Daphnia pulex: one gene and its partners. The protein of the gene in region 3 interacts with the protein of the main gene of each other region in a pairwise test. Links are inferred from orthologs where the notes say so. Each region holds a gene or a part of one and is shown on either strand. Other genes may lie near its edges.

Region 1 (11,256 bases), on a different chromosome or scaffold from region 3:
TATAAGGACATAGAACATTTATAAAAAAAAAGTGGGTAAAAAAAAATACACACAAGTCCACTGCGTATGGTGACTGAAAGATACACAAAAAAAAATTTCATGATCGGGCGACTGTTATTATTAGCAGCTGGCACGAAACCCGTGGTCAAAATCACTAATTGATTTTGCACTTTTGAAGATCTAGTACGACTGCAGGAAGAAGCAGTGCAAACGTAAGGAGAAATGGGTGGGAGAAAAAAAAATTAAGAGTGCAGTGGCTTCACTTCCCTCGAATGCCGTGAACGCACCAGTTTACCTTGAGCCCGAAAAAGCAAACAATAAATTAGTTCAAGGAAACGAGAAAAATCAATCGTCACAGGAAAAATGCGAGTTAACTGGACTAGTTTGCACAGTAGTTCAAAAGATTGCACTGAACATTTTGACTGCGCATTCCCACTTGTCCCCACAACTCTTCCCAAAGAGAAATAAAGAGTCGTATGTAAGGGTAAACTAAAGAACGACTAAGAACATGAAACTGAACAAAAATTTAAAGCAACACTATGAGTAAGCTAATGAGCTACAGAAATCTTGAAGCTCTCGTGCCCATCCCTTATTTAAAAAAAAAAAAAAACAAATCCAATCGATTAGAAAGAAATCGATTCCACAAGGATCGGCATTATCAAACTGAAGTTGATTCCGCCAAAAATGCCAGTGATCAGACAAGCAGCTCCAAACATGCCAGCTGTAGCCGCGTATTCAGGTTCCACCGTTCGTGGGCAATACATCATGGCTAGTGAAGAGTAGTATCCGCTAGTTACACCCAAAAAGATGCCACCGACCCAGTAAGCCCAATCGTTGTCGATAAGAACGGGCAATGCTCGCGTGACGCCCAATGGTTGATAATTGCACAATAAGAAGAATGGGATGAACAAGACTCGCAACACGACTGGAATCCATAACCAGCGAGGTCCCGGCTACAATTATCAAAGAAGGATTATGTAAGACAAACTCTTGTGTGTCCCATTAATAGTTTTGCCAAATCGTTTACGTACCCAAGAGTAAAGTCCAGGCAACATATTCCCAACCATTGCAAAGAAATTAAAGCTGAGAAAACAGCATACGGCTACAAAATATTTTTGTGAAATAATGAAGTTCTCGTCAACCATCTTGACATCTGATAATATAAATTTTAAAATTACAGGAGGAAAACTTTGTTAAAATTTTATAAAAACACCAACCGGAGTAAACGGCGGGAAAGATGGAGAGTGTGACGAAAAAGACGAGGAAAACGTTTAGACATTGCGGAAAACATTTCTTGAAAATCATCCAATAAGGTGGACGGGCTTTAATACCACCTAAAGCGACGCTCTTTTCTTGTTCTTGTCGCTTAATGCGTTGTTCATTATAACGGTAGAATCTCTGTAGCAAACGGGGGAAAAATAAACAAAATCTTCGCATCAAATGCGTTCAAGGTTAACATATGTAGAATGAATAATAAATGCGTACGTTGAGTGGCAAGGCGAAGAAAGAGTCGAAACAGGCCAACAGAATGAAGAGGGCAGCGATGAAATAGTATATGGCCGAGGTACGCGCATTAGGGGCCAGAGCTAACGAAATGACGTTTATAACGGCCGTGAAAGTCCCACTGATATTCTAATATGGAGTGAAAGAATAGAAATTTCAAATTTGAATACGAATTTTTTACTTTACTTCTTAAAACGAACTTACCGAGCCAAGGACGACCGCTCCTGTATATTTGAAAGGAAGCTTGGCGCTCATTCCGTAAATGGTATTTTGATAGATTCCACCAGCCACTGTTGACGCCAAACTTTTTTTTAAATCCTTGACACCACATGACTTTTAATAAAAAAAAAAAAACTTACTGTTTAATATGACCACTGAACCCATCGTAGTCCAGAAAAATGCTCCTGGCCATTGAGATGATTCCAACATAGCCAAAACAACTGTTAAAACGAAAACAGCTACTTCAACGAGAATACCGCCAATAATACGGGTACTTAAACTTCCGCTGTAAAAAAATAAAAATATAATAAATAAAAGATGAAATTTATATTTTAAAAAATATATATAAATCAATAAATAAAATGTATTCTTAATCTGAATCTTAACCACTATTATAACTTTCGATCCAACCAGAAAACATTTGTTATTTACTGAAGGGGCGTACATGATTTATAAAGCGATTCATCTCTTGGACAAACTATTTGAAACTTGATCTTCTTTAAAAAAAAAAATTAACTTAGCAGCGAAAACACTGTACGAGATTCCTGTGATGGATGATTCGATTAACTATGAAAAGCCTTGACCTTGAAGTTATATCTCTTCACTTGTCTATCATCCACCAGTTGCACCAGCGAACAAAACAACTTTAAAAAGAAACGAGAAAATTAATAAGCTTTTATACCCTATCTGGATGAAGATGTTGAGCCAGTTGAAGATGACGTTGGGAACCTGGGAAGCGAAGCCAAGGAATTGAAGAAAGTTGGCAGCATAAGCAAGACTTTGCCCGGTATTCTCTGGTCCAAGTTTGTGAACGACAAAGTACTGTGTGGATTTTTAGAAATGAAGGTTAGTCAATGAAACCCTTCTTGCCAATATGAATTAATTGCAAAACTTACGTCCTTCGCAGTAATAAACATATTCCATGGCATTAATGTGCCAATTCCGTGGAGTATAAAAGTGAGATACACCAAATTCAATCTGAAATACAAACATAAATAGAAAAATAGAAAAATGATATTAATTTAATGGTTTTTCAATCGTCGGACCGTACTGCCCACGCCCTTGATCGTAATCCTACTGTGTTATAAGACACACTTGAAAAGGATATTTCCTTTTTCCTATCTTGACATTGTGAGACGTTGGGAATGAACTAACGTTGACTGGTGTCATCCTAGAGCATATCTTGACAGTTGCTGCGGTATACAATCACAGCTGAGCAATAAAGGGCGGAAATAATGGAAACGTGAATAAGCGGATGAATCTTTAAAAGAAGCAATTGTGAGAATTTAGGCGAATAAGTGTTCGGTTGTCTAATCGAAGCTAGTGCGTGTGGTCTCAACCGATTACCCTCAGGAAACGCTGTTAAGAATGTGCATCAGTAATTACCGATCGGGTGGTGGGTCCATGTCCAAAGCGGCTTTATCCAGATCAGATTCTAGTCCTCGCAAATTCAGCTCTGCAGCCGGTAGATTCCGGTCCTCCCAGCTGGGCGTCAACTTGACCGATTCAGGTCCGCTCTCCAGAAAAGGACGTTTTTCTGCTGCCATTGTATCTGCCATAAAATAATTCGTTTAATAAGGAAATAAGTTCGAGTGCGTCTATGATTGAGCAGTATCTATCAAACTGTAATACATTTATCATTGAAGGCGGCAGTCACCCAAGTATTCACACAAGTGGAAAACATCATTGACTGTTCCTTATAGTAATTTCAATTTTGTGTTTGTGTGTATACATCCACTCGAGTCAACAACTCTTTCACAAACAAACAAATCGAGAAAAGAAACATGAAAAAAAAAAACACCACGAAAGATTGAGTTGCCGAAACTGGGTGGCGGGGACAGTCCCTGTTTAGGCCCAGACAGTTTAAAAATACAGGACTATGCCTTATATACATCACATGACCGCCCATAGAGCTTCGTGTGGATATTCTGCCACCCCAGTCGAAATATTGGGGACTCGTCGTATCGAATAATCAAGATGCAGCAGATAATCTCCAAGTAAACTAAATTATGTCTTCAAAACTATTGCCTACAGGATATCCTTTCAAAGAGGGGGAACATGTTTAAAGATAATAGAAAGGAAAACAATATTTAGCACATTTACAGCTTCTTTTGAGCTGAATCGAAAGCTGTTCGGCGTTCTGTATCATGTGTATACATACACACGTACCAAATAGTAAGGCTGGAGGGGCAACCAAAGAAGGGTCTGTTACTTTTACGTCTTGTGGAAGTTGGGATAAAAACAATGGGAGAAAGGAGCACACCTTTGGGCAGAATTTTGTTTTTGTGAGACTCGACAATCTAAATGATTAAATGCTTGTAGCTCACCGTTATTGACAGCATCGTCGTTCACGTTAGTCTTTCCCATTTTGCTGGCTCAACTGTCGATTGCAAAGCAGACACTGTTAGTAGGTAGGAGCAGATCAAAGGTTCACAATTGGGTGTCAAGTCAAACAATCGATTGAACGTGTTATTCAAGTGATTCGAAAGTCACAGAAACCAGTACGAAATGAGATCTTTGCATGGAGTACTGTAAAACTGGCTTATTGCCCGGTCCATGCTTGGGTTGCAACTGAAAAGAAAGGGAGGCAGACATGCAGCGCTGTGGGTGAGGGACTCAAAGTGGGCGTGTACCTACAAATGCCGCCAGGCCTTTGAATGAGCGTGTGAACCGCCTAGCAGAGGACCTCTAGCGGAAGTTCAATAATCCCTTTCTGCCCCAGATAATGTTACTTCAATTTATTTGATTTACATGAGAGTAAAAATTCCTCTGCTGTTCCGCCCCACGCCTCGTGTTACAAAAGAAGCAATCTCACTCAACACACGCTTTAAGAAATAATTTTGAAAGTCTTAGTAGTCGATAGTTCAATTATTTTCAAAGGAACAATATATATTAAAAAAGAGATCGCATTGCTGCTAGATGACGGTCCATATCACTTTACCGAGTGTCGGAATGATAGCCAGTCAGCAAGTCCCGGGTGTTCAATATCTTGACGGTACAAAACAAAAATTGAAGAGCCAGCGATAAACATGATAGCGATGCATGAAATCGGCCAATCTAGGTTGCAATTGCGTTGAGAAATGACATGTTCGACCGTCAGACCAAAAAAGGTAAACTAAAAAAAAAACATCCGATTGAAACGGATAATTTTTTCTTTAAACCGTGTATGAAATTAGAACACCGATATCAAAACAACACATCGAATGAAAAAAAAAGTGGTTTTTAATCGTATTGATATGATGTCAGGATTGAGAAAAAGGAGATAATTATAAAGGAAACGCTCAAAAAATAATAAAAATTGTTTGAACGGTTACTTAAGGGAACTTATCGCATAAGGTTTGGTTTGTAAATTGTAATTTCGAAGGAATGGATATAATTAAGTCTCTCTGTAGTGGATTGAATGTCGGCCGCTTACAAAATGATGGGAAGGGATCTATTTTACTATTACTAATTTCGAAGCTGTCCAAATCAATTACTTCTTAAATCCGAAAAAAATAATACAGAAATTGTTCTCGTTAAGTCAAAATAAGGGGTGGAGACGCACAGGATTGTAAGAAATGAAATGCGCATTCCTTAATATGAATAGAAGAAAACGGCCGCACTAGCTTTGGCTTTTTTCATAAGCATTGAGCCATGATTTTGACATTTTAGAGATAGGACTTTCATCTAAAAGATTTGAAAGTCCTCCATTCCTATAACTAATTAGGAATGGAAGACGAAATGATAATATTATGATAGATTTTTAGCGCTTCGTCGTAAATGACACATTCGAAGAAAGACGATCGCTCATTCGAAGGGAAAATAAACATAGGCTGAAAATGGAAAGTCGTGGGTCAATGCTGATTCACCGAATTACAAAAAAATAAGCCACTGTACCAACTCGCTTCTGATAGATAGCCCCGTTACTCTAAAAAGAGAATTGGACGTTTGCTGGCGTTGTTTTTCTTCATAAATTCGACCACAAGCTTGCTGGTTTCTTTCTTTTAAACGCTTTCGGCAGGACTTTGGAATTCGCTTAGGACTTTAATAGGGGCGATGTGCTTCTTCTGAGACGCGCGACGAACTTTGGCCCTAACCTCTTCGGGCTTCTCGCGGCGAACTAGTGGCTTCTTTTCGGGTGCCTTCATCTTCCAAACGACGATAGGCGATACGACGGTTGTCTGGCGGCTGGTATACTTCGTAGAAGCCACGTAAGAGGCTTTCACCGTCAAGACGACGGCGTTCATGAGGTTTTTAGCTGCCTGGATGAGGGAAGTAGCACTGTCCAGACCCGAAACAATCAGCTCTCCACTAATGTTTTGTACATCAGCCTTAACCTTAGAGGTGATGTTCAACTGATGGCAGTAAAGAGCAATACGTTGCAAATATGCAAGCAAATCTTGCTTGGTCGATGATTCAGGGCATTGGTCGGCAATCAGACGGGCGAATTTATCTAATTTGGTTCCAGCTTCTGAAATTTTCTTGGCCGCGTTAATTACATCCATTGTAGTTTTAAGGGGTCCACGACCGCGAGTGAAATCCGTCATCTCCATCATAATCATGCACATATGTTTGGCTAGGACGATAATATCGTTTCCGGAGTCGTCCCATTTCGATACTTCTCGATCAAACTTCAACTTTTCTGTGCGGAAGTACTCGACTTGCTGGGCGATTTTAGCCTTGTCTTCTTCCTTCAGTTTACGCATAGCCTCACGTGCAGTGGTGATGCCACTGATATCTGGATATTCGTCCACCATGTAATCGAGCGTGTGGTTACTCGATTTGCTGCGGGTATCAATAGTGTACTGTTCATCCAATTCAACTTCTTCAGGATCAAGTTCTTCGTCGGCGCGGTTCATAAGAACGGCGCGACGGACTTCACGAACACCATCGTAAACCAAACGAGAGGCGTCAATGAATTCGTTTTCATCGACATCACGAGGTGGATTGTTCGACAAGGCGTCGACAGCCATTTCAACTTTTTGTGCGAAGTTAGGCATTACTTGATCGCGTAGAACTTTGACAGCTTCAAGAACACGCTCGGTATAAATGCCAGGTTCGTAATTATCCATTTCAGCGGTGACAACATTGGCCACACGGGAAGCTCTGCCACGAATGGCGCCTGCAGTTCTGTCCAGCGAATCAGGGTCGCCTTCCTGGAGGGCGAGGACGCATTTGTTGACGTCTTCAAGAATATGATTTTCAGAGACGGCCAAAAAGTCATCGATGGTTGTGATATCGTCAACGGCATCTGTCAGAATGCGAACTTGGTTCTCCCATGCATCGCGGAAAATGTCCATATTTTCTTGTGCAACGCGAGAGCGCGGACGAGCTGCCAGAATTCGTGCTGCATTGATAACTTGTGGGCAGAGAGCCTCTATCTGGGAGGCGGCATAGCGGACCATTTTGACACCATCTTCGTTGCCCGACATCGAACAAGCTAAATTAGCTACCTCAACCAATTTGTTGGCATGCTCGAGAAACACCTACGTTAAGCGAATAAAAAGTTGATTTGTGCAAATCCGGAACAAATGAACACCACAATTTTACGAAAACATACCTGTGAATATTCCTCTACTTCCTTCTCATTGCCCGATTTAGCTGCTTCGATCAACACCAAAAGTGGCACATTGGTCTCCAGGAACGAATCTGAGACATGGTCAACCACTGCCTTACGCAATTGACGGCGTAGATCACGAGTCTTACGACACATATGATCAAGGGCACGATCCAGTCCTTCGCTGCGATCCTTTTTGCCCATGTTAGACATGTATTCGCTCAGAAGGTCTTGAAGTGCTTGGCGAACTGCATTGCATTCGGCCACGATACGCTCACGACGATCGTCACGAGTACAGGAAGAGTCCGCCTGGATAGATTCGATAAAAGAATTTCGATTGAAGGTAGTGCACTTCAAAGACATTCAGCCTTCCATACCATTAGTGCAGCACCACTGATTATACTTTCAAGTCTTTCTTCCAGTGATGGGCGCGTACGGATTTCGCTGTATGCCAATGGGTCCATAATTATTCGTTCATCAAAATCGTCGAGAGCTGCAGCCAGTTCTCCAGGCCCATCATAGGGCATTTGAACGGCCGGGTTTCCGACAGTACTCTTTCCTTGTGCCACGTCGGAAATTGCGCTAACAGCCTTTGATAATAAAAAGAATCCTGAAAACCAATTTTTATGAGTAACCATCTAAAAAATTATATTTACCTGGCAAACTTGTTTTAAAACATAGTCCCTGTTAGCTTTAGCTGCTGCTAGTTCAGGGTGACGAACAAAAGCCTTTGAAGCCGTTAGCAGCATCATTGAATGCTTCTTGAGCACAGCTCGAGCAGCAGCCAAATCATCTCTCAAAGCTGGATCTTTAAGTTCTTGTTGACGACGAGCAGCTTGTGCCATCAATTCAGAAGCATTTCTGCCAAACATACGCATGCCTACAACAAAAGATTTTAATGCAATTCTTTTTCAAACGAGGATTTAGCCAAATATACCTTCTTCTAGTTCAGCTTGGCTTGAGGCTCCACGCAAACGCTCAAGATCGTCTTCAACTACTCGAAGGGATTTAAGTAGACGATGAACATCCACCATATCCGCAAGGATTAGAAGACGAGTCACAGCAGATAACAGGTTACGTGCTGCCCGAACCATGTTTCCGCGCTTTAGGGACGAACATGGGTCTTCGGCGAACTCGCGTGAGGCAACACTCATGGTCTCGCCTGTTTTTCGTACTTCGTCAACTGCAGCCAACATTTCTTGCTGGATGTCTGGATTTTCATAAGCAATCTGTTCACCGCGTTCGATAAAGTTGCCTGTTGCTTTCTCTACAGCCGCTACGAGAACATGAGCTCTTTTCGAACGGCCTTTCTTTTTCTTTGAAGAACCTTTTGTGTTTACTAGAGTCGTAACCTAGATAAGTAATGAAATAAATATATATATAAAATAGATTACAGGAATTTTATAAAAGGTACAAAGAGAAGCAAATCGTGCAAACACACAAATTAAATATAAGGAAGCAAAGAAGAATTTCAAATAGTTTCCTTCAATCAGTAACTGTTTTCCCTGAGGCAATGCAAACTCTTTACCTGGATAACCAATGGCTCCAATGTACGTTCCACCGATTTCGTCTTGATCTCCAAGTTTTTGGGATCCCATTTCAGAGTAATGGGAGCCAAGTCTTGGCTATTTGAATTATTTTGCATTGCAGAAACTTTTGAAGTATTCAACAGCATAGACTTTCTACTGGAACATAAGGAACTAAAGAAAAAATAAACAAAACAAAAACACAATTCAAACTATGCATGCAATTTATACAACAACTTAGTTATGAACACATCATGCCAAAGAAACAAAAAAGATGCAGCACGACCTAATGACTCTCCTCTACACATCCAGAGGCTTTTAAAGTGTAGTGCTACCTGAATCACTAATGGTTCCAATGTTCGTTCCACAGAAGTGGTACGAATTTCAAGATTTTTGGGATCCCATTTCATAGCTGTTGGCCCATGGGCCTGGTTGGGGATTCCCATGTAGTCCAAACCCGGAACTGGCATGACAGGCATCTCAAATCCAGATATATTGTATAATGTACTATACTTACACAAAGATTTAATTTTCAACACATAAAACCAAGATTAGATCTGTGGAATTTTGAATGATGAATGAATACTTGAAAATTGTTTTAAAATAGCATCTTCTGAAATACTTTATGAGTCATAGCATGGCATAACCACTCCTTACAAACTAATAAACATGTTATACATCTTTAGAAACTTTTGAGTGTTTACCTTTATCTTAGCTTTCAAAGGTGACTGAATGTTTTGAACCACAACCGAAGTACTTGTCAGACTGTAACAAGAAAACTACAGCGGCTTACAACTCCACTAATAATGGCTACGTATAACGGGCGGAAGCTGTGTCACGACAGTTTTTCCCGTGGGTCGAGAAATGATGTCAGTTCCGGTCTAACGAAAATTTCCGAAGCCACTCCCAACATAAGCGTTATCACTGCAAGGAAATAGTAAAGAAGGCGAGAGTATAAAACGGCATTCACAATATGCGGTCCCAGCCACCAGGTGGCAGCAAAAAGTCTGACTCCACCTGCTGGCGGCTGCATGTGTTAATAATTCAATCAGATAAACGTGTCCATCTGGCGACTGGCAAGTCTTTAAATAAAAATGAAAAAATGAAAAAATAAAAAAATAAAAAAAAATATTTAGAAATATGTAGTAATGAAAAAATGCAGGACAAGTTGAGGATATATTCAGACACGATAATAATAATATGTACATATTTGAGAATTGAGAGACTTTTAAAAAGTGGAAATATTGATTTCAAACAACTGCGAATTACCGAGAACATATAACAGACTCAATAATCGAACGTTTAAACAGCTTTTAGCTTTTGTAACAAAGCATTTTTATAAAGAAGTACATGATTGAATTCACAAATCACAAATGAGAAATTTGGCTAGCTGCTGACGAGTTGGAAACTCCCGAAAGGAGACGAATTTGCTCTGAAGACTCGATATGCTGTTTTTCAGCATACAGTTGACTATATTTTTCACAAGCATCCACATAATACCTAAATTAAAAAAGTTTAAGATAAAAATATTCTAAATCAGAAAAATTAAATCTATAATACCTATAGTTCATCATCAGCCCAAATGAATTTTTTATGCCTCTTGGTGAAAGGTCGGATGCCCAATTCAGCTGAAAACCAAGAAAAATTTCCATTAAGAATCCAGCAAATTAAAAATGACATTTAAAATAACTTACTCTCCACATCATCGCTCCATTCCGCAAATGAAAATTAGCTAGAAGAGAACAAACGATAACTTAATTGGTTAGCAAACATTGAAGGCAAAACTAAAGACTTACCAACACTGTCCAATGCGAAACCTCGCCTCTTCTCCACAAACAGATAATGAGCACAGAGACGCATTAAGGGATTTTCCATCAATTTAGCTTTCGCTTCTTCCCTCATCCATGAACTATCCACTAGCAAACTGCGGAGCATCCCGAGCGGATTTTCTTTGGTACTGTTAATTAACTGAAGAGCCGTACCCCAATTAAAATCAGTTAAAACTGTTTTTCGCCCACGTTCAGTTTCCCGAAGCTGCTGAAGCAGCCAAGACCGGAAGCCCGGTATAGGAGAAAGCGTTGAATGTTGCTGTAGAGATGGAATTTCCGTTTGTAACTCCCGAAGAGCTCTTTTTATCAAAGATTGACCTAAATCTATCCCCTAGAAAACAAAAAGTTAGCTACTGACAGAAGGGGATAAAAATAACCTCTAGCTGCTTACTGCGAGGCCTTTTTGAGTTGAGCTGATGCTGTAAAATATTGCTGTGTTTACACGATCTATATCTTCAACATCAATATCTGCCAACCTGGAACCATCTGTCTCGGAATCAAATGATTGGCTCAAATTCCGCGTAATAATTGTATGGATGTTGTTGGATATCTCGTTTGTCAATGCGACGTGCAAAATGGCCAATGGTTTCTTTGGTAAAGCAGGATGTAAAAGTATGAAACATCGCCGATAAGGGCCGAGGCG
Region 2 (11,192 bases), on a different chromosome or scaffold from region 3:
ATGTCGACGACGTTGATGATTTTAATCCTGCCAACACCAAGTCCGCACTAGCACAGAACAACGTGATACTAGTCCCGGAACAGGAGGATAAGTCGACTCAAACCGTGGATGTGCAACTTCCTACGACGGTCGTTGATAACAGGATTGAGGAACTTGAAGATCAGTACAAAAAGATATGCGCTCATAATACATCTATGCAACGAAAGATGAGAGGGTTCCACGCTGCCCGTAATATTCTTCAAAGCGCAAACGAAAAGCTTGTCCTCCAACTAGACAGCAAAGCAAAAGAACTTGAGGAAGAAAAAGCCTTGTCAAAGAAGAAAATCCAGGAGTTAGAAAGCGACCACCAGGAAAGCGTCGGAAAAATTCGACAATACTACCAAACTTTGCTTAACAACAGAAACTGCAAAAACAATGAACTTGAAGAAATTATCTCAGAGTTGTACTCTATAATTGATGAATGCGAAGAAAACCACCGCACTGAGATGGAAGAAATGGATACGAGGTATTCAAAAGTAATCGATGAACAAAACGAACACTTGATGCAGCTGGAGTCTAGGGTTGCCGAGTTGACACAGAAAAACTGCGAATTGAACGACACTGTGGACGAACTAGAGCTCAGCTCTTACGCGCTACCAGATTACTACAAGATTCTGAACGTGAAAAGGACAGACACCGACGAAAAAATCATGAAGTCCTACAAAGAGAAAATTCTACAAGCCCATCCGGACAAGGTCAATCAGATACAAACAGATGATGTTGAAAAAGCGTTGATGAAGGCAAACCGACTAAGCCAGGCACTTAATCGTGCAAAGGACTTATTAATAGAACCGAGACTTCGGTACCAATACGACAGCTGGTTAGACATGACGGAGATCAAGAAAACAGAGAAGAAAATGTGGGATTATAAAGCGTTTGAAGAACGGAAACGTTACAGGAATTAAAGCCGCCCTTATGTTTAATCTTCGATTTTCTTTGGATGAGTTGCAGTTGATTTGGTTTTTGTTTTTTTGTGTTTTTTTACCGAAGTTAAGTAATGTTAGAAGCTGAATGTCAGTCTTGCGATTGATATTTGTTGATTTGTGATGACGCTCCCTCCTCGTAACAATCCGGAAGGGAATGGTGGGTGAACCTGTCAATGGAGTTGGTGTGTCGCTGTTGTGCGTGGGGACTTCTGAATATACTTTGAACTGCACAAGATGATTTGTCATTGGGAAGTACGAAAGTGCTTACACAATACAACTCCTCTAACAGTCAGAGAAGTAGGTTGTCCTCACCCTACATGTCAGTGTAACATTTGACTACCTTGACAGGGGGTTTAATTACCCTTAAATGAGTCCACCAATTCTTTACGGTAAGTTACGATGGAGACAGCCGAGCAAGTTGACCATTATCGATTGTAGGGCTGGTTCAGTTTCTTTCATTATTAGCTTCGGTTTTTTAATTTTTTTTTCATTCGTTCTTTTTCTCAATAAATCGGGTTCTGTCCCATATATAATCTCAATCGTGTTGTTTGACCTTTTCTTATTCCTCATCATTTATGGTAGTATGTACTTAAATTCGATGGTATGTGCTATTCATAATTTTCTGGGGGGTTTAATATTACCCTTTTTAAATGAGTCTATCACACTTCTTGACCTGTTCTTGACGTGCGTTTACGGTGGAGATGGCTGGCTGTGCAGCTTGGCAGCAGAAGTTGTCAGTTACTTCTCTTGTTTCCTCATCAAGCTTCTGGACACGGGGATTGTACAACTATACAAACACCGCCCATTACCAGTTTGACTGAAGAAGGCTATAGATTTTAAAAAAAGGATATTTCAACGATTTCAATCTGCCATTTTTGATTACATCCTCACTTAAGTTCCTCCCTTGATTTTAAAATTTTTGGTAAACAGTGGCAGATTTAAGGTGTTGCCATATTTTTAAAAATTAACCTGAGAGTCCCAAAGTTAATTTATCACGATATTTCTCTTATGCATAATGACTTGGTCGTGAACGCGGTCTGACCGATGACTTAAGAGACGCGCCATCTAATGTCGCCCACCCTTCCAAAACTAAAGCTGACGGTTAACATTCACACTAGGTACAATGGTACATTTGTGTTTACTTAAACAAAGGCTCCCTGACTTGCGCAAATCTTCTATCTTTGTTTTTATTTATTTTGAAAGAAATTTGAGTGGCGATCATCTTCCCTGTCTCATTGTCACATAAATTATATTTTTAATTTTTTTAAAATAAAATATTGTGAGGACAGCGCCATTTTATCGAATGGTGGAAGGGACAGTTTCGTCTAGGACATATGTAGAATCACTATCGGGAAATTGATTCACCAAAGAGGTGACGTCTTTTATTTGCGGAAAGAAATCCGGTCCAACGAACATTATATTATTTGTACAAGATTCCATTTCTGTATTTCAAAATCTTGAACCGTGATCTTAGCCGGGTTCTGATGCGTAAAACACGGTAAAAAGTTTTCATATGAGAAAAAGATAAAGAAAGGTTAAATTTCGTCACTTCACAAAGATATTATAGATATTCGGTTATACCGGTTCGATGTCAAATCGAAACATTGGTCAACAGCAGCTACTGCGAAACAAATGTTCTTTCACCTTTAGCATACTATATACACACGTTTATCTAATGTCACGAAATAGATTTGTCTACCTGTCTTGCTCAAAACGGTCGGTAACATCATACGGGTCTGTCTCACTAACAAAGTAATCACTATAGTATACCTCAATCGGAACAAATACATAACGATGAATGAATTGAGCAAGCTCATAATTATCGCCTTGAAACACTTTGCGTGATTCCACCCCCTTTGTGTGTAATACGATTTCCCGCAAAGAAAATCATATAATCTATTCAAACTGATAATGAGATTTGGCTGCACCTGCGTGCACCCATCAGGAGAAAGCCCGAAAACTCATTGCTCAAAATTCATTCATAATATACTACTCATCCGCAATAGTTATTGATCCGGAACTGGTCAATAATTCAAAGGTCTTGCGCGGGGGACAAATAGCAAAGTCCGTATTATTTCGCAACATATGTTTTCCGATCAATGTGTGTCGATTCAGCCGATCTAAGCGTTTTTTTTTTATTTATTATAATTTTTCCATATCGTGTGACGTAAGCAAAGGTTTTCAAAACCGAGTCCAAAGTTGGACCGCTAGACGTCCTCCTAGTTATCCTTGTGTACGTACTTCATGGCCAAAGGCTTTAGTGAAGATTTCAAAGTGTCGATGATTTATTATAAAAGGCGGCAGATATCGTAAAAGTGTTTCACTCTTGAACCCACACGAAGCTACAGGCGATTAAAAGATTTGGAATCTGTTTGAAAAAAGAAAGGGATAAACAAAAAAATTGTTTTTCAAAAGGGAAAAATCTTCATTTCAATGTGACTTGGCAGTTTTACGGGGCAGGATTTGATGACTTGATGTACACATCTACCGTTATATTACGGTGTTTGAAGAAGAAGTAAATAATACTATATCCTCTCTCGTCATTTAAACCATTCGAAACTTAATCTGGAGAGAGTGTCAATCAAAATGAAATCAATTCTCTCTTGAGCTCTTAAGATTGCGTAGATTTATTCTTGTGTGTGACTCATATATCAAGACATGGACGACATTTATAGGCCGGAATTAAACGCGAATCAATCCATCTTTTATCGCCAGTAATCTCGATGACTCAAATTCTTTATTTTTTCCCTAATGAAAGTCGATGATAAAATCTGGCGTTGCTAGCGCATTAATGAACATAAAAGACCCCCTCTTTTTCTTATAAAATAATAAATTCCAAATAATAATAATAATAATAATAATAATACTCGTTGTTTGTATACAACGGATGCACTATATATCCATGGCGCATCAGTATTAATGACTAGCGCCGCCAAGATGTCGCGTTCTTTTCTTTCATTTAAGATTTTCTTATCTTGGAGTAGCGCGGCTCTTTTTCTCTTTCCTCTTTACCCCAAAAGTTAAAAAAGAAACCGCCGCGCTCGCGCGCCAGTGTGTAATCTGATTTCCCCGTGTCTGTATGTGTGTGTGTGTATGTGTGTAGGAGAGATAATTCCCAATGAAGCTGCTGCTGCACAGTTAGACTGCCCAGGGTCCGCTGAGTGATCATCATCATCGTGCGAGACAAATGAGTGCGACCAATAGACCAAACCGCCGCCGCCGCCACTTTTTAAAATTTTGAGCGCAGATAAAAGCCTCAAAATGTGGCAAGACCTTTAACTCGCGGTATAAATATCAGATCCATCTTTATTTTTTTTCCTACCCGAATGACACAGATATCTGGTGGGGGTATAAGAAAGGAGTTGGTCGGCGAGGTGTTTAGACGTGTCCGCGGTGAAGTGCAATTGTTGTTGTTGTTGTTCATCCATCATCTTTTGGTCCAACGGTGGAACTAATTTGCCGACTTCAGCAGCAGCAGCTTCGATTTGATTCCAGGTAGGTAGATATATTTTGAGAACATCCATCTTTTATTATAATATACTATATAAGATGCAATTGAGTCGGATGCAAATTGATCCGGGACATCCATCAACTTGGCTGTCGGCGGAAGTGGCCTCCTCCTCCTCCTTTTGGGCGGCCGCCGCCGTTTGATAATTTCGCCGCGCGGCAGCAGACAACAATTCCCACCATCCTATCCTAATAATAATAAGAAAAAGAGCTGATCTATATTTACGATGCTGCGGCATTTTGTTGGCTTGAATCCATCTGCTGCTGGTCGCGTAATCGACCAAGAGTCACTTTACCTTGACACGTCGTCGGCAATGGAATTTCGTTTTTTTTTCCCCGGACAACACATTCTCTCCAGCATTTTGAAGAAAGAGATAGATGACATCAACATCTCGAACCCCGCAAGCCAGCATGCTGCTGGTTAAAAGCCTTTTTTTTTATTTTTCTATTTTTTAACTTGAAATATACTCAAAAAAGAGCCGCGGGTCAATAGAAGAAAGGCCGCCGCCGCCGCCACCGCCGCCTTCCTTTTTTTAACACATAGTCTTGATTATCGCGCGGCTTGTTTTTTCTTCTTGGCCCGACGTGAAGACCTTGAGTGTGTGGTGGCTACCGCCGAAGAAGAATACCCTCTCTAGTCCTATGAAAATGTATGTAACCACCATTAAGGGCAATCATCAGAGTAGGTACAAGACCGACATGATGTCTTGATGGCACACAACGAATCCAGGTGAGGGCAAAACGCCAGGAGGCGTAGATCGACCTGGCTGGATTGATCTAGCTTTTAACTTTGACGTGATATTATATATACAACTCAATCGCTTTTTAGAAAATATATATATAAATACAGCAGAGGCGACATTTCCACAGAAGGAAGGAATTTGAGTTACATGAACCCGCTCCAAGGCTTCCCCCCTTTTCTTCTTTTTTGGGTGTTATTTGTTCGGTACACTTTGATGCCCTTTCATGGAAGCATTATGCAGGCAACACTCGAGATGTATGCATAAGATTATTGCCAATGTAAAAAAAAGTAAAGATCATTAGGCGATTTTTGTGAAAGAATGTCGGCACCTGCAAAGTCATGGCGAAAAGCTGAAGAAAAAGAAAGAAAGAATAAAGGAACTTGTGAGGAAGAAGAATGTCTTGGCGAATCGATTTCTAGCCAACTATCGATATATAGACATCGGGTGTACGTTTCTCGATACGATATAGGGGGAATGGGAACTGAGTTGTTTGGAGTTGAGCAGAAGCCGTCCGTCTTTTTTTCGAGTTTCATTTATTTCATTTTTTTGTGTTTTCTGTTTCTTTCCCTGAGTTGTGGCCCGTTGTTGACACGACGGCCGAAATTAATCTGAAAAAATTCGAGTGAAAATTCGATGGAAAAGGTAAATTAAGAGGAGAAACAGAAATCTGACAGAGTGATGCCCCTAGGTTATGCCCCTACTGCATACACATCTGAAAAAGTGACAATGGGCAAGCGATGGGTTTACCTAGACTCGCGTGCCCAGTGATTATTTGCAATCTAGGCAACTCCATTTACCACTCAGACTTATTGAATGTGATGGAAAATGAAATGCAAGTCTTGACTACGGGGAGGCATCACTCTTTTGTCAGGATTGTGAGCAGAGTCTGTATTGATCGACCTGGTGAGAGCTTTTGTAGTGAGTGGGGAGAACTCGGAGAGCAATTTCACTCTTCTCTCCCTTCTCATTTGTAATCCAGGGGCTCTCATCCAGTTTTTTCCAGCTGTCAAATATTGTGAACATTTGAGTAGTGGAAAACACAATAGCTTCTGCTTATGGTTAACAAACTGGTCGATAACTCTTGTACTCTTGTATTACAGGATTTCATCCAGAACCCGTGACAACAATTGGACCACTCATGTGAAGATATCGGGCCTCATTAAGGACTGAAGAGATCGACCCAATAGTTGCAACCCCCACAGACCGTCCAATTATGTTGATGCAGTAGTGATTCGTCGCAGTGTGCCTTATTCATAGCGTGCCTCATAGAAGAAACCAACTCCTCCTTCGCTTCACCCCTCTTATTTCACCAGTCTGGAACTAGATGCTGCCTGGTAAGCAACCTCCGTTTTTTCCATCTCTATTGTAGTCCATTTTTTCCTATTGTTATCTTGCACTCACCAAAAAATGAAAAATCTCCCTACTCATTGTTACGTTGTCAGATTATATTTCGCGCTCCAACGATTCCAATCAATGCTTACCCACCAAAAACTTGCAGTTATTTCTTTTTTTGCTTTCTGATGGTGAGGAGGGGGGCTAGAAGAGGAGGGGGGGGCTGGTGGGCGGAAGAGTGGGTCTTCCAAAGCCGGATATGGGATCTGGGAACGAATTTCTCTGGATGGATTCTCTACACACAGTTGCTGTGGCAGCAGAGTTTAGTTTATTTTGTGAAATTGCCAACTTCGGTTCAGTAGAAGAGTCCAATGTTGATGTTTTTGCTCTAACCAGTGACATCAAGTTGTGATTCGAGTTTCTGGCCATGTTAAAATGTGTGCTAACCATTTCGTTGCATCTCTTTCGTGTCCAGGTGATGCTGCTCCTGTTTTATTTATCGTCCGTTGACTACAACGAACTTGTACAGTGTTAAGTGATGAATGGAGGTGGATCTGTGATTCGTTTTTCGGAATCTGCTCCTCGACCCCCTGTCTTCCCAGGTATGATCCAACTGGTCGCCTTTGTGTGTGCTTATTACATTCATTCTAATGTTGTTGCGTTTTTAATTCAGGTGAAGAAAATGTGCCGTCAAGTCAGGTGAAGATGGATCCATGGGCTTCACGGTTCGGAAGGCGGGGCCCGTCGCATCCTTCGACGCTGTCGCCCTCCAAAGGTTCATCACCCGTCCTGACGCCTCGCAGACATGGCCAGTCGATGGACGAGAACGACTTGGCTCGCCGCTACGAACCGGCTGAAGGATCGGCCTCCACGTCTCCACCCTTGGTCGAAACGCCGCCCTATTTGCGATGGGCTGAAAATCTTCATTTCCTCCTGACCGATCCCGACGGCGTCGAACTCTTTGAAAAATATCTCGAACAGGAAAATTGTTCTCATTTACTCAAAGTATGTCCCCATCAACTGCAATTTCTTTTTCGTATTTTTCACTCATTTTTTGTTTTGCAGTTTTGGTTTGCCTGCGAAGGCCTCAAACGAAACTGGGCAGAAGATCCCGAAAAAGCTGTCCAAATCATCCAAGTCATTTACAAAAAGTACATCCGGCTCAAAAGGGTCAATGTGTCGGAACTGAATCGGCGTGAGATTAACGACCGAGTGGCCAACAAAGCTACCCTTGACGCGCATATCTTTGACGAAGCGCAAAAGGATGTCGAAGATCTTATCCGCAGCTCAGTTTACGTCAACTTCCTAAATTCGGACGTCTATTTATCTTACATTCAAGTAAAGAGTCGATCACTTTCATCGCTTTGACATCTATCTCATTTTACGTCCTCTTATAAATTATCTAGTCTATGCAAAATGGCATCCCGGATTCGCCTCGAAGCGGCCGGAGTCAAGGAGGAGGTTCAGACATCACCGCCAAATCTTCCGTCGCCCCTGATCTCGCCGGAACGGGCGCTTCAGATGATCGAGGACCTCACCTAGGGCCATTGCCTACTTTGCACGAAGATTCTGAATTCTCTTATCCTGCCGTCGAGCTCAACAAGCCAATCCCACTGACGCATGACGCTCTCATGGCCACCAAGAATGTCCGGATGAACGTCGAATCCCGACCAGTAGGCGGCCTCTACCCAAGGTGAGTCATCGTTATAGAATGTCTTTGAAAAATTGCATGATCAATTTCTTTCTTTCTCATTTTTTATTTTTTTTTCAAACTTTTGCCTGAATTTTTATTTAATTGGAATGCCGTTATGATTCTTATTTCAATTCACTTATTATTTCGTTTTTTTTTTTCGGTTTCCGTTTTTTTCTTTACGTTTATTTACGGGGTAGTAGTCGAGTGCCCCACAACCCATATCACTCCGTGCACACAACCAGCTATTACGCGCCGTACAATCCCGTTTCACGCCAGGATTCCGAGATATCCTCTGATGCTCATACGGACGACACTCGCTCACTGACCGATGGTTCTGTGTAAGAATTTCGAATGAATGTTTCTTTATTTTTAGTTATATTTTTTAAATGTTTTAGAGCCTGCAAACAATTTTATTTCAGTAATTATTCGTTCAACATTAACTTGTAACAAACGTGTCGTTTTATAGCGATGGTTCTGTCCTGTTTTACCCGGCCAAGCCTAACCGGCACCAACTGCGCAAAGCTCGGCAAAAGATTTCAAACGACTGTATGAGAAATCGTGATCCGTCTATAAACCAGCCATTCATCCCGCGAACTCAGCGTCTTCCACCCAAAGAACAGGTTATACACCTCGACATTCATCACGACTGAATCAGGTTTTTTTTTTTAAATAAAAAGGGAATGTTTTTTCTTGTTTGGTCGCAGCAGGTGATGCCCAAGACGCCGCAAGAATTCGCCGCTGAGCTCATCCAAAAGTTGGAAGCCGTTAAACGAGATCGGGAATCTGAAGAAAAGTTGCTCCGGATTGTCGCTGAGGTTGGTGGCATTTTCCCACGTTTTCTCTTTAAACAGCCAAAGTGCATTTTAAGCAAAAACTATTTGTTTTCATACAGAGGGATAGTGAAGCCAGTGGATTGGATGAGCCATGCCCGCAAGGCGCCCGCTTCAAACCCGGATCTGAATGCTCAGCTCGTGTTTTGGCAGAAGCACTGTCCAAAATCGCTTCTTCAAATGAAGCCGACACACAATCGATTCTCGGTAATGTGCACGATTTGATCTGTTGTGAAGTTCTATCTTAATCGAGTGGAATATTATTATTTTTACAGATAACCACGTCCAAAGAATCTGGGCAGATCAGACGCCATTGCGATCACCCGGTGCACCTTCACCTCGGCCGTGGTCTCCAGAGAACCGGCGTCGATTGCCACCGAATTCTGTGGCTATTCCAACGAAAACCAGTGGGCCACCAATAATGAGCTCTTCTGCATATGGACCCGGCTATTTCCAACGCTCCTCAGCCCATCATCGGCGAAAAGACAAGGTAAATGTCTATTCAATTCTAATTCTTCGTGAACTGGGACTTTACGGAATATTTTAATTTTCAGGATATCGAAAAGGGTTCGACCTACTCAGCAGACTCGGGTGCGATTCTCGATCAAGGTGACAGCGGAAGAGAAAATCGAGCTCACTTTTCCAAGTCGCAATCAATTCCTGATACGCGCCGGATTGGTATGACGTCCTCTCTTGGGGGAGCTAGCAGTGCCATCGGCAGCAAGAAATCAGAATACGATCGTGTCCATGACAGTGGTCTTTGCCTCCATACGGACCCTAATCCTGGAACACTAATGGCACCGCCTTCACAGCCACCCAAGGAAAAAGTGCTCCACTGGATCAGCACCAATGACAAATGGCAAGAAGCTGATAGAGATCCGTCTTCCAGCAAGCACAGGTAATTGTTTAATCAACTCAGGCCTAATCGGGTGGATCTCTAACAATTTCTTTTTTGATGGTTAGGTCGCGTCCACCGAGTTCGACTTCACCCATTTCTTCCAGAAGGAGTCGGCAACACAAGTCCGCTTACGGGACTTCGAGGTCGGAATCGCTGGAACGAGCTGGAGCTTCCGCCGGTCATTTAACGCAAAGTGAAGACGATATGGCTAGAAATCGTCCTCCAACCAAGCCAAAGTAAGTTTAATAAAACGAAAACTAAATTCACTTATTTGATTCATTTATTGATCCAATCATTCTAGACCTAGCGTATCACAGCCAACTTCCACTCACTCGACAACGATGAAGAAACCAGCAAGTAGTGGAGCTCTCTCAGGTAAACAAGGAACAATTCAGCAGCGTTGGTTGTTCGCCCCCACTCATTCCATTTTGATTCACAGGTGAAGGAAGCTCAGCCCCAACAGAATGCACTGTTGTGACGTTCACTTTTGGAGATGAGCCCGTGCCCTACCGCAGCCGGATACCTGGACGAACTGTCACGCTCAAGCAATTCAAAGAAATTTGTGTGCCCAAAAAAGGAAACTACAAGTAAGGAAGACTCTTAATTATTTTTCACAAAGCTTTGTACTCTAATCATCTTTTGTTAATTAGGTACTACTTTAAGACGAATTGCGAGGACGACGTAGCGATGGCAGTCAATCAGGAGGTTATTGACGACTCTGAGATTCTACCACTCTGGGAAGACAAAGTGCTGGGTATCGTCAAGCTTGTCGATTAGAATTGATGATGTTATGGAAAAGATATTGTCTTGAAAACTTTACAAAAAAAAACTCTTTAAAATGAACCTGAGTTTATGTTGCAGCTTAACATTACCCTCCTTCAAAATCTTCAGCCCTGTCTTTTATTTTGTATGATGTCAGTTCTATTTTTGTCATTGTCGTTTTTCATCGATTCACGCGTTGTTTTTTCTCTTAACTCCTGTCTTTTGATAGAAATCGAGTTTCTTTTATTTCTTTTCTCTTTTATTTTGAGAAGCGTGCAACAATCGTGTCGTAGTAATTTACCCTTTTTCCAGCATGAATGAATATTTGTTTAATTGTCGCGCTGAGACTTCTTTCTTCCCTCCTGCATTTCCTTTTTATACTTTGTCTGGGCCAAAAAAAAAACTAATTTAAGAAAAAAAAATGTTGGAAGATTTGCCTTAGCCAGAATATTTTTTTTTTAA
Region 3 (4,195 bases):
TAAAACAAACGTACTCGTTGGATGTCTTGGAAAGCACGGATCAACAGCTGCACCAAACGAGTAATAACTCCTTGTTCTCGCAGCGGAGCGTGGTTAGCAGGGCATAAAGCCAGATTACGAACCAACCCGATCAGAGCTAAACAAAAATGGTAATTATGAGACATTTTAAAAGACAAACTTGCTATAATGATACATACCCTTGATGAGTGGCCAACGAGAGGGGGGTTGCAATAAACGGACAATGACGGGCAGTCCACCACTAAGACGAACAGCATTTTGAGCCATTTCAGCTTCAGCGTGACGTGATGTCATGTGACGCAGAGCACATATCTGTAATTAATGGATTTTGTAAGAACCAACACGTTTGTCATTTTAAAAAGATGGATATATTACGGCAGGTTCGGTGATTTCTTCACGATCGCCAGCATGAATAATGGTGCGAACCAGCGCTTCGATACCACCGACTTGACACACAACAGTCTTGTTGCGTTGGTTGTTGCAAGTCAAGTTAGAGAGAATTCCGGCAGCGCAAGTGATTACGTTAACATCACTAGAACCTAACAACTGAACAAGTCCTTGAAGCAGGGTTTCTAAACCTTCTTGCTGTAAGAGAAAAATAAAGGTATAAGCATTGTCCTTAAGATAGGAGCAGAACATAAAATAATTTTTCTTTTAGAAGATAATCACCTGCTTGGTCGCAGCATCGGAAAGATTGCGGCAGGTCCATAAACAGTTCTGAACTAGGCGATGACTTTGGTGGCCCAAGTGCATTGCCAACGCTTGCATACCTCCAGCTTCAACAATAGCTGGTTTGTTGCTAGAACAGACCGACAGCACTGGGAAAAAAATTTATAAATAAATCACGTACATTAAACATTACGGTTTTTATAAATTACCTTTCAAAACTCGTGAAGTGGTCCACAGCAGCTTTTCGTAAGTATATGACCGAAGAATTCGAACAAGTTCCATCGGCCCCTGTGAAGCTAAAATGATCAACTTGGATTCTTGATTGCCATACGCCAGAATTTGAAGACAATCAGTAACGATTGCCAAGAATTTGACATTGTTGCGCTGAAGGAGAGCAACCATCTTCTGTAAACCACCCGCCAAACGAACGGCCATTTTTGAGCCTTCTTGATGGAGCAGCAAGTTGTGCAGCGTCGTGATAGCATAAAAAAGAACGGATTCCACGGGCGAGCTTTTCGAGATGACAAAAAATAAAAATAAGTAACGTTTGAAGAAAGCCGTCAGTTCGGACACATGAAGGATGAGACGGGACAATACCTCAACAGCTTCACCAAAGCTGGAATTCCCCCAGATTTAAAAATAGCCAACAATCCTTGGCGGTGATGTGATAGGTTGTGCAGGGTACCAACGGCACCTTTGGTTGTTTCCAGGTCATTGCTATTGGACAGTGCTCGAACGAGAGCCGCAATCATCTACGATCAAACGGATATGCATTATGAACTTGGAAAATAATTTTAAAAGAAGTGTAACACAGAGTAATAATAAAATCATAGAAACTTTGGTTGCCTGTGGGCTATTCATGATAGCATGGCGGGACGCTTCCTTCTTGGACAACTGGTGAACCATCATGGCAGCATGAGATACGACAACTTGATCTTCATCGTTCAACAACTTGATCAGTTCGGGAATAGCTCTTGTAGCTAGATCAGCATCATCCTACCAACCCAAATATTATTACTTTAAGCAGTTCAAAATTTTGAATTTCAGCAATAATACCTGATAGTTGATCAAATTAACAACGGCATGTTTCAACATTTGCGACGGTTCGGCTAAACGCTGAACAGCAGTTGGCTGTGTGGTATCAAACTGAGTAGATGGAATTTCCATTCCTTCATCCAGTGTCTCTGGAAACATGGCAGCACGAATACGCTGGGAGCGAGTCTGGTTTAACTGAGCATTCATGTCTGTAACAAAGTATTTGATTAAAACATATACCGCAATAAGAATCAAAAATATTTTATTGTTTACCTTCAACTTGGTCTTGAGTATAACCAGCTGAATAGCCACTTGATCCACCCATGTTAAGCATGACTCCTCCTTCAGAAGTATCCATATCATCATCACCACCTCTTCCAGAGAGTGATGGGGCCTAAGAAGTAAACATTTAGTTCGAAAGGTTACCTTCACTCGCACAATTCACTCAATATTTACCTGAGTGGTTGCCCCACTTTGGATTCCTGAATCTCCTACATATCCAGGTTGCCCAACTCCTTGCCACATCAATGTATGTTCCTTAACGCTGGGCATAGGAAGATCAGCAGGGCTATTGCTAACATATTGCCCATGTGACACTATACATACAAATTAAAGAGTTATAATAGATTTAATGAAAAATTTTAATTTAAAAAAGCTCATACTTGGCCTCCCTTGTGCCTGCATCTGATAACTCATGATGCGGCTGTGTATCGACGACTTTGCGACGAGATAACCTTAAATAAAGAAACGAGGGTAAGAACCAGGGCTAACAAAGTGTCGCAACTATGATGAAGTAAACTGCGTGTTTGACTGTCACTTGAGATTTCGACACAGTAAAAAGCCATTCAAAAGTCGAGAAAATTGTTGTTTGCTTTCGAAAAACATTTTAAGTGTAATTTTAAACAATTTAAGGTCACATACCTTTGGAATTTCGATTTGGTGACAAGAGATTAACAGAGCCACACCTGCCACAATCAGAAAACAAGGACCTGCTTCGTTCTGAAGTACTGACGCGTCTAAAAAGCCCTTAAAGATGGCGGCCATCAGCTTGAAACGGAACTATTTTTTTGGCGTTTTCTGTTTTTCTATGGTAAACCAATAAAACCAAAAACATTTAAATATAGCTTGAAATTACGTATTTAATGTGTTTTATTCCAAAACAAAAAAAAATAATAAAACAAATATTTGTGGGAAAGTCCAATAATATTTTAGAATATTTTTTAAAATTTCTAGCGTAGGAATACATAGCTAGTTTCCCCTGCCCGTTTGTCCAGACGGAAAGAGTGGGAGGGGAATAAAAAAAAGTTTCAAGTTCGGAATGACTCACAAATACCATTGAACAAATGATAAAAAAAAGTGCATTGCTTCTCAAGCAGGTTTTTAACCTCTTCCTTTTTTAATTACCTAGATACAGCTATGTAATAAATAGGTTGGCATTTCAGGGGTAGGGAGCCGTGGATTGCTGTCGATTGGCTAAAGAATAAATCGCCGCAATATGAAATTTCGGTTTTTGTACTTTTTTCCCGATATGCAGCAATGAAAAAAACAAAAGTTCGCTTGCTCGCTTAAGATTACATTAACTTCTTCACCTTTTCCAAACTTTAAATGAAATTCATGTAATGACTTCAAGTATAATGTCAAGTAAAAGTGCCCCATAAATCACATACAAAGAGTGTGAAAGGAATCAAAAGTCTTCGTTACCATGCACACCTGCTTTTTTGTGTGCTAGGAACGACTTCAAACTTTTTTAACCCAAAGAGCTTCGACGGAAACTTAGTCGTTTGGCATTGTCAAAAATATCAACTCGTTTATTGAACAAAAAACGGACATATTAAGGCTGTCAAATTTCTCTGCAGGATGTGCCGTTTTTTTTTTTTTTTAATCTATTCTAGATCTAGTCCTTCGATACTTTATATTGACTTATTATTGCACCGCAATGGTACCGATAGCTAATAAATTTCCCGGCTCATTTTACTGTTAAAGAGTCCAAAGTAACTTGTAACTTTACGATACCATTTTCTGCAACAATCGTCTTAAAAGATATTAAAGGTTATTGGTCAACACTATTTTCAGTGTATATTTCCAAATCATTTTCTTTACAAGGCTGAATTTATACAGCAACATTTTCAGTTTTGTTTTTGAATGGAAAGATTAGTGCTGCGTCCATTTGATACTTTTCAAATCAATCCCTTCTTGGACCATTTCCCAAAGAGGACTAAAAGTGGAGAAAAAACATAATTAACATTTTTAGCAGAAATGAAGGAAGTTATTTGTCGGGGAATTCCAGACCCGGGTTACGGTTCGACTTCTTCGAATTCGGTATTTACCTCATTTCCCGAAGTTTGGTGACTTGATGAATACACTTTTGTGCGGTGTAATCAACCTCAGCTTCGGTGGTGAATCGCCCAATTCCAAATCGAATAGAAGAATGCGCCAAATCTTCTTCAGCGCCAATGGCCCGCAAAACATATGA

The links.
Region 1: the proteins of armadillo segment polarity protein-like (region 3) and catenin alpha-like interact in binary tests that used the Drosophila melanogaster proteins (3 or more experiments, as listed by UniProt). The link is inferred for Daphnia pulex from reciprocal best matches to the Drosophila melanogaster genes arm and alpha-Cat.
Region 2: the proteins of armadillo segment polarity protein-like (region 3) and axin-like interact in a two-hybrid assay, tested with the Drosophila melanogaster proteins (2 studies listed by BioGRID). The link is inferred for Daphnia pulex from reciprocal best matches to the Drosophila melanogaster genes arm and Axn.

What each region holds. Positions count from the first base shown.
Region 1 is NC_060018.1:3,368,903-3,380,158, forward strand, and holds catenin alpha-like, read right to left. Parts: upstream 9,795-11,256; 5' UTR 9,489-9,794; intron 9,292-9,488; exon of another isoform or gene 9,264-9,291; coding exon of another isoform or gene 9,120-9,263; intron 8,959-9,119; 5' UTR 8,934-8,958; coding exon 8,787-8,933; intron 8,611-8,786; coding exon 8,196-8,610; intron 8,139-8,195; coding exon 7,915-8,138; intron 7,849-7,914; coding exon 7,636-7,848; intron 7,568-7,635; coding exon 7,262-7,567; intron 7,188-7,261; coding exon 5,706-7,187; 3' UTR 5,675-5,705; downstream 1-5,674. Other genes in the region: equilibrative nucleoside transporter 1-like, read right to left, coding at 624-953, 1,032-1,153, 1,218-1,398, 1,486-1,632, 1,708-1,793, 1,863-2,008, 2,405-2,544, 2,619-2,700 and 2 more; malonyl-CoA decarboxylase, mitochondrial-like, read right to left, coding at 10,152-10,284, 10,345-10,412, 10,479-10,516, 10,581-10,944, 11,005-11,256. UniProt on the Drosophila melanogaster protein: Associates with the cytoplasmic domain of a variety of cadherins. The association of catenins to cadherins produces a complex which is linked to the actin filament network, and which seems to be of primary importance for cadherins cell-adhesion properties.
Region 2 is NC_060025.1:2,835,955-2,847,146, forward strand, and holds the start of axin-like, read left to right. Parts: upstream 1-4,309; 5' UTR 4,310-4,460; intron 4,461-5,635; exon of another isoform or gene 5,636-5,857; intron 5,858-5,895; exon of another isoform or gene 5,896-6,118; intron 6,119-6,315; 5' UTR 6,316-6,549; intron 6,550-7,022; 5' UTR 7,023-7,085; coding exon 7,086-7,149; intron 7,150-7,220; coding exon 7,221-7,552; intron 7,553-7,612; coding exon 7,613-7,885; intron 7,886-7,953; coding exon 7,954-8,240; intron 8,241-8,437; coding exon 8,438-8,578; intron 8,579-8,706; coding exon 8,707-8,860; intron 8,861-8,944; coding exon 8,945-9,055; intron 9,056-9,132; coding exon 9,133-9,277; intron 9,278-9,345; coding exon 9,346-9,560; intron 9,561-9,624; coding exon 9,625-9,968; intron 9,969-10,033; coding exon 10,034-10,204; intron 10,205-10,269; coding exon 10,270-10,343; intron 10,344-10,407; coding exon 10,408-10,555; intron 10,556-10,618; coding exon 10,619-10,745; 3' UTR 10,746-11,192. Other genes in the region: uncharacterized protein MCAP_0864-like, read left to right, coding at 1-944.
Region 3 is NC_060020.1:4,722,842-4,727,036, forward strand, and holds the start of armadillo segment polarity protein-like, read right to left. Parts: upstream 2,801-4,195; 5' UTR 2,644-2,800; intron 2,457-2,643; 5' UTR 2,419-2,456; coding exon 2,385-2,418; intron 2,319-2,384; coding exon 2,179-2,318; intron 2,117-2,178; coding exon 1,996-2,116; intron 1,932-1,995; coding exon 1,744-1,931; intron 1,684-1,743; coding exon 1,525-1,683; intron 1,440-1,524; coding exon 1,285-1,439; intron 1,199-1,284; coding exon 897-1,198; intron 837-896; coding exon 688-836; intron 604-687; coding exon 394-603; intron 331-393; coding exon 198-330; intron 137-197; coding exon 15-136; intron 1-14. Other genes in the region: cysteine desulfurase, mitochondrial-like, read right to left, coding at 3,874-3,937, 4,050-4,195. UniProt on the Drosophila melanogaster protein: Isoform neural may associate with CadN and participate in the transmission of developmental information. Can associate with alpha-catenin.